2 linked regions of the Macaca fascicularis genome follow. The protein of the gene in region 1 purifies or fractionates together with the protein of each later gene. This does not show direct contact. Links are inferred from orthologs where the notes say so. Each region holds a gene or a part of one and is shown in the gene's direction. Other genes may lie near its edges.

The links. The genes of interacting proteins can lie anywhere in the genome.
Region 2: the proteins of EFTUD2 (region 1) and USP9X fractionate together in Homo sapiens (co-fractionation; 3 studies listed by BioGRID, with this or other methods). This does not show direct contact. The link is inferred for Macaca fascicularis from reciprocal best matches to the Homo sapiens genes EFTUD2 and USP9X.

What each region holds. Positions count from the first base shown.
Region 1 is NC_088390.1:65,920,235-65,923,745, reverse strand, and holds part of EFTUD2 (116 kDa U5 small nuclear ribonucleoprotein component), read left to right. Parts: intron 1-186; coding exon 187-314; intron 315-1,062; coding exon 1,063-1,256; intron 1,257-3,461; coding exon 3,462-3,511. UniProt on the Homo sapiens protein: Required for pre-mRNA splicing as component of the spliceosome, including pre-catalytic, catalytic and post-catalytic spliceosomal complexes. Component of the U5 snRNP and the U4/U6-U5 tri-snRNP complex, a building block of the spliceosome.
Region 2 is NC_088395.1:41,067,338-41,071,290, forward strand, and holds the start of USP9X (ubiquitin carboxyl-terminal hydrolase 9X), read left to right. Parts: upstream 1-1,149; 5' UTR 1,150-1,430; intron 1,431-1,697; exon of another isoform or gene 1,698-2,458; intron 2,459-3,953.

The sequences.
Region 1 (3,511 bases):
GGTGACTCCACATCTTTTAGCAGCACGTTCCCAGAAAGCAGGCTATCAACTTTGCCCCTAGAATCATAGTGCCAGAGCTTTTAGTCCCCGCACTTTGAGCTTTCTGACCATTGTGAATGGTTGAGTAACTCCTGCTCGTGCTCCCCGGGGGGCATGTAGTAATGGCTTTCTCTTTTCCATCCACAGGCTTTGTGGACATGTGTGTGCAGCATATCCCTTCTCCAAAGGTGGGCGCCAAGCCGAAGATTGAGCACACCTACACGGGCGGTGTGGACTCCGACCTTGGCGAGGCTATGAGTGACTGTGACCCTGATGTAAGGGCACGTGGCTCCCTGGTTCTCTGATTTTTTTTTTCCTTTCCTGTGTGGGGATACTGATTTCTGGTCACCGGAGTCATGCCCTCTTCGCCACCCTTGCCTTCCCATCCCCATGGGCACAGTCAGGCCTGAATGCAAAGCCTAATGTTGCCGCTGCTAGTGCCATGACCTTGCGAACATTACTCACATTTCCTGAGCCTCAAGGCCTTGGTCTATAACACGAGCATAATAAAATGTGAGCGGTTGTTATGAGATTTAAATAAGATTAAGGAAGTGTTACGATTGTGTTCAGCATGTTGCCTGGCAGATACTAAAGATTCAACAAATGGTAGCTAATCTTGTCAGTCCTGGCTTTTAAAAACATCTTTGCCAGCCATTTCTTAGGCTGTCTAGTTTCTCGTCATAAATACACAGCCAGTTGAGAATTGAGTTACATCTTAAGAGGAAATTTGGGACAGTAAGCAATCTTGTGAATAGTGCCAGTCTGCCATCTTAAATCTGCGTCTCTTCTTCAATGCTCTTATCTTCCCAAAAAGAAAAAAGGAAGAGAATATTTTTGCTCTGCCATGTCTCCTATTCAGCCTCCTTAGAGGGATGGGATACAACATAGTTTGGAGATGAGATTACCTCATCTTTCTCTAGCTCCTCATAGAGCTCATGTCCTTGCTGTCAAGGAAGATGGTGGGGAGTAGTACTTCCCCGGAGGGTAGATGTGGTTGAAGCTGCACCCTGTCCCCTCTTCCAGGGCCCCCTGATGTGCCACACTACCAAGATGTACAGCACAGATGATGGAGTCCAATTTCATGCCTTTGGCCGGGTGCTGAGTGGCACCATTCATGCTGGGCAGCCTGTGAAGGTACTGGGGGAGAACTACACCCTGGAGGATGAGGAAGACTCCCAGATATGCACTGTGGGCCGCCTTTGGATCTCTGTGGCCAGGTACTGCCAACCAGAGCCCCAGGGGTATGCCTCGGTGTCTGTCCAGGGACTGCCCCCAAGGAGCTGGAAGGGGTGATCCTCCTTGGAAGTAGTTGCAAGGCTCTGTGCAAGAGGGGGTAAAGCGGCTCTCTATCTGCAGGGCTATTGACTTCTAGTTCTTCCTATCCAAGGTTTGCTGGGGCCAAAGGCAGCTACTGTTGGAATAGTGGCAGAAACTTTGCCTTTGCACTTTGGGTGGCTTGTGTGAACTTTTTTTTTTAGCCCTATTTGTTTGTTTGTTTGTTTTGAGACAGGGTCTCACTCTGTTGCCTAGGCCAGAGTGCAGTGGCACAATCTCAGCTCACTACAGCCTCCGCCTCCTGGGCTCAAGCAGTCCTTCCACCTCAGCCTCCCAAGTAGCTGGAACTACAAGCACACACTACCACGTCTGGCTAATTTTTTAATTTTTTTGTAGAGACAACGTTTCACTATATTGCCCAGACTGGTCTCCAACTCCTGGGCTCAAGTGATCCTCCCACCACAGCCTCTCAAAATGTTGGGATTACAGGTGTGAGCCACCACAGGCCATCTTAAAGCCCTTTTGAAAGCATGAAGCTTGTATGAACTTTTGTAGCAAGATTTCCATTGTTACTCATTTTAACTCTCTTTCCATTTCCTTTCCTCTGTTCCTTAAGTCATAATCTTTGTGTTTCTTCCCAAAAGAAATTGTTTCCCAACCTCCACTGTCTATGCTTTGACCAAGAGAGAAGGATTCACTGGATACCTTGTAGCATCCCAATCTGCAGAGTCAAACTTAGCTTGGGCCTCTGGGCTACTTGTCAGTTTATGAGTTTGGCTTCCCAGTTGACAAGTTAAACCAAGACATTTGTGTTCCCTAAGGTGGCTACTCTACCTCAATGATGGCCCCTTTTGTCAAATCCACCCTAAATGCCAAAAGGCAGAATATTGAAGAGCTGGGAAAGTGGAAGTTTTCTGTGATGCTTTTTTTTTTTTTTTTTTTTTTTTTTTTTTTTTTGAGACAGTCTCACTCTGTCGCCCAAGCTGGAGTGTAGTGGCTACGATCTCAGCTTACTGCAAGCTCCGCCTCCTGGGTTCACGCCATTCTCCTGGCTCAGCTTCCCATGTGACTGGGACTACAGGCACCCACCACCATACCTGGCTAATTTTTTTGTATTTTTAGTAGAGACCGGTTTCACCATATTCGCCAGGATGGTCTCGATCTCCTGGCCTTGTGATGCCTGCCTCAGCTTCCCAAAGTGCTGGGATTAAAGGCGTGAGCCACCGTGCCCGGCCTTTTTTTATTTTTTATTTTTCTCGCTCTGTCACCCAGGCTGGAGTGCAATGGCGTGATCTTGGCTCCCTGCAACCTCTGCCTGCCGGGTTCAAGCAATTCTCCTGCCTCAGCTTCCCAAGTAGCCAGGGTTATAGGTTTGCACCACCACGTCCACCTAGTTTTTTGTATTTTTGGTTGAGATAGGTTTCACCATGTTGGCCAGGCTGGTCTCAAACTCCTGACCTCAGGTGATCCACCTGCCCGCCTCAGCCTCCCAAAGCACTGGGATTATAGGCATGAGCCACCACGCCTGGCCTTCTGTGATGCTTTTGCTAGCCCCTTACAGTGGACACCTTGGGCAGCAGCTTTTTACCATGAGCTTGCAGTTGGAGTAAGATTTTCCTGTTATGTCCTCACAGAAATACCTTGTACTTTTCTTTCGTAATACTCATCAGTTTGTAACCACATACATGTGTGGATAATGATTGTTTACTGTATCTCTCCCCTGCTAGAATGTATCCGTTTTGCTCACCTCTGCTCTTGGCACGCAGCAAGTACTCAGTAAATTTTTGTGGAATAGGCCGGGTGTGGTGGCTTACACTTGTAATCCTAGCACTTTGGAAGGCTGAGGCAGGAGGATCGCTTGAGCTCAGGAGTTCAAGACCAGCCTAGACAACATGACAAAACCCCATCTCTACAAAAAATACAAAAATTAGTTGGGCATGGTAGCGCGTGCCTGTAGTCCCAGCTACTTGGGGGGTGACGCAGAAGGATCACTGGAACCTTGGAAGTTTGAGGCTGCAGTGAGCCAAGATGGTGCCACTGCACTCCAGCCTGGTAACAAAGTGAGATCCTGTCTCAAAAAAAAAAAAAAAATTAGGGAATGAATGCTCTGCTTAAGTTTCACTGCTGCTTATTGGATATTGCTTCAGGTACCACATCGAGGTGAACCGCGTTCCTGCTGGCAACTGGGTTTTGATTG
Region 2 (3,953 bases), on another chromosome or scaffold:
TAAAATCGAAGATAACAGCCTACAGTGTACACGGGTGGTCGTGTCTACTTTTTAGAAGCCCATGAGCTAGTGGGTAAGCAAATGATTCATGGAAATAATTACAAAAACAAGGTAACATATGCTAAGAGTTATTAGGGCTATGAATGATGTATCTTGGATACCCTATTAGGTAATTTTGTGGTGAAAAATTTGTAAACAATCTAGTGCTAAATAGAGAAATGGTTTAAAAATTTAAGATACCAATAACTTGCTTTCACTGTCACCTAAATTAGTTTGGTTCCATTTTTAACAGTCTTTTATTACAAACTGATATAATCATAGCATAACTAAATTCAACCCTGTTCTCTATAAAATCTCGTTTTGTAAGGTTTTACTATGATTTTGCATGCCATTTGATGTCCACAGGTAGTTTTAAGTCAAAAGGAAATCTGTAAATTAGGAACTGTTAATTTCCTCTTCATTTGGGCATCCTAGGCAGACTGTATAGAATTGTTCCAAGCACCCCATTAATTTGAGATTAGCCTAAGTTTTTCCTACGCCTGCACTTTGGAATATAAACATGTAGAAAATAGTCCATGACACAGCGGATGGGTTCATAAGTTTCTTCCGGGTTCTAACACCGAATCGTGCTGATGATCTGGCAATGGAGGCTAATCTTGCCATATCAAGTACGGCCTATTCGCTAAGCCGTCTGGGGTACTTTATAATTTTTTTCTTTCCTGGTCTGTTTGAAGGGCTCCTATAGCCAACAAGGTTGTCAGTCCCGTCAGTTACGCTGTGAGGACGCCTAAACGCTTTCAAGTACTGATGCTGCGCGATCGTGTGAAAGTGTTTCCCAGAGCACCTCCCTCGCGGGGTGGGGAAAAGGACCTCACTCCCCACGCCCCCTCCTTCCGCTGCAGGAGATAGCCACACCTTCCCCCTATCGGCGCCAAGCAGGTGGCCAGGCCCTCGGGACCTCGCGCCCCCGCAGCCCAGTGGCCCGGCCAGCTCGTGCGTCACGTGACGCGGGTCAGCTGCGCCGCCGGGACCTCCAGGCACCGCGGCGGCGACAGCCCAGCGCGTGGTCTCGGGATCTCATCTTTCCGCGCCCCTCCCCCCACGATCCCGGAAAAGGGGGAGGCCGGTGACGTCATCATCCGGGTTCTTGTCGGTGGGGCCACGGTTCACAATGGAACAAAAACAAGCGGCCAGAGTCAAACTATGAGCGACGCGGCTGCGGCTCACGCGATTAACCCCGTCGTGACCGCACACCCCGCCAGTCCCTGCCGCCCAGCCCCTCCGGCGTGGTGTGCCAGATCTTTTCGGGCCTCCCTTCCCCAACTTCGGTCCTAGAGCCACCTCTGCCCTCGTCCCGCTCCTGAGCCGAGGGGCATGGAACAGGATTTCTGGCGGTAGCACGACCCTGAAGGGGCCAGCCGGAAGAAACGGTACTGCGCGAACAATCTTTACCGCATTGTCTTCCCCTCCCCCACCCTAGCTCTCCGGGTTCCCAGCGGCTCGCGCCCAAGCCCGGCCCCCTCGGCGGCTCGCGCTGCTCTCCCAGCCTTGACGGTCCGGGGTGGAGGCGGGAGAAGAGGGGGCAGCTGAGCGGGAGGGGGCTGGGCAGGAGCAGGGGGAGGCCCGAAAGGAGGGGCCTGAGAGGGGCGGGGTCTGACGGGGGCGGAGAACTTCGGGTCTTGGGCGGCTCTGGGGCTAGTGGGAGTCTGCGCCGCCGCCGCCACCGCTGCTGCCGCCGCCGTCGCCGCTACCGCCGCCGCCACTGGCCGAGCGGTTTTTTTTTTTTTTTTGGTTTGCCGGATCCGCCATATTGACGAGGACGGGCATCCGCGGCTGCGGACGCTAGTCTCCGCCGCCGCCGGAGCCGCAACCTCTCCGCACCCGGCCCCGTCAGGGCCTCTGCCGCGCCGAGCCCCTCCCCGCCTTGCATAGCTCCCGGGCCTCGCGGGAGCCCTCCGCCGCCGCCTCTCTCTCGCGGGAGGCGGCCGCCTTAGCGCCCGGTGCTTGGGTCGGCGCCGGGAGCTAGGAGAGAGCTGCTGCAAAGCCACCAGGCCCGGAACGGGGACAGAGGCGGCGACTAGGGGAAGGTGAAGCCGTCGCTGCAGGAGGAGGAGCAGGAGGAGGTGACGCAGGAGAAACGCACCGCCCGGAGCCCGTCTGAGCTCAGCGAGAGCCCCAGCCTGAGGGGAGAAGGGGGAAGAGGGCCGTAGCCGGCCAAGGAGGAGGAGGAGGCGGGCGCGGCGAGAAGCGAGTTCCGGCGCCGGGCGTGCAGCCTTTTGGTTGAGACGCCCTCAGCCCCGAGCCCGGCCGCCGCAGCCTTTCAATACACTTTGTTGCCGGTCACCCACGGGCCTGGGATGCACCCAGGGTAGGTCTTGTCCCGAGACCGAGCCCCAGCGTCGCCTGCTGCCTCCCGCCTCCACGTGCCCTGGTTCTGAGAAGACGTCTGTGTCGTGCGGTGAGTGGCCAGCTGCACCGGGGCGACGCGCCTTCCCGGGGCCAACAGCTGGATGTGGGTGAGGGGAGGAGGGCGAGGGGGGTGTGCGTGTGTGTGAGCTTCTTCCCTCGGCGGCTGCCGGCCGGGCCGGGGCTTCCCCGTTCCCCCTCCTCCGGCCCGGGCTGGGCGGGCGCGCGGGGCCGTGTTGTGTGTGGAGCCGGTGTCCCGAGAGCGTGTCTTGTGTGTTTTGGACTGTAAGGGAAAATGGCTGACGGCTCCGTCCCTCCCCCTCCTCCCCCTTCCCGTCCTGTCTGGGGCCGAGTAGGAGGATGGAGTCTCCGGGCGTGGCGGGCAGCCCCCCCGCCGTCCGCACCCGGGGCCCGGGTCGGTTTGGGGGCTGGCCGCCCCCGGCCCGGCGGCCGCTTTCCTGCCCGGTCTGGTTCCACTTGACACCAAACGCCATTACTGAGGTGGAGTGATTTGGAGTCGGGGAGCTAGGCCTCGGCTACGCCTGGCTATCAGGCCTGACGACTTGTCCGCCTCCCCCCACCCTCCCGCGATAACCCGCAGTTTCTCCCCGGCCCTGGGCTCCTGGAGTCGGAGCTGGGTTATCGGCCTCCTACACTTCCTTAACCCCGCTTAATTTGCAGAGGGCCAAAGCCGTGAAAGGGGTTTTTGAGTGCAGAAATCGCTTCCAAGCTAGCTTGGACCTATTATCTTTCTATTTTTAACTGTTTCTGCAAATATTAGCATGTGCGAGTTTATTAGTGATCAGATCTTCAGATTCTTGTGACGTGAGGCTTAGGGTTGGATAAATGGCTGATTTTTCATTCATTGTGAAATAAGTTAAAGAGTTATAGAGCAGGTGTATAGATGGCTTCTTCAATTATTTGTGTGGATTTCTGTAGCGACTACAACTTACACGAGAATTTGCAAAATTTCTAGTAGAACCTGCTTAAATTAAGCATGTTATTTTTTGGAAGTTCCATAGTTATAACGTTAATTGAATTTACACGGTGCAGTTTACAGGTGTATATAATTGTTTCAGATTGTCTTTTAGTTTAAGCAAGTTGTAGGTATAGATTATTCATACTTTATTTTTCGGCGAGAGAAGTGTGTGTGCCGCTCTTTTACCTGGAAACCCATGAGTCCCTGAATCTACCTAACGTATGTATACTTTCACTTTTGAGGGGAATAATTTGGGGTGCATTGATTAGGAAACTTTCCAGCAGGTACTTAACCCTCTCGGAGCTAATTACCCTTAGGTAACTCCTTCACCATGACTAGCTTGGCTGGTTAGTACACTTGAACTTAAAAATAGAGACTACAAACTCTCCTTTAGATCTCGCTGGTCTTCTAATTCGCTGGGCTGCCATTTTGGTTTCAGCAAATGCCTTCAAATTCTTGAAGAATTATATATTAAATATAAAAAATGTCAACATTCTTTTTCTCAATTTTTAAACTAATGTGCTGTGTCATACATCTAACTTTAACCCTTTAAACTTTATCGTTCCAG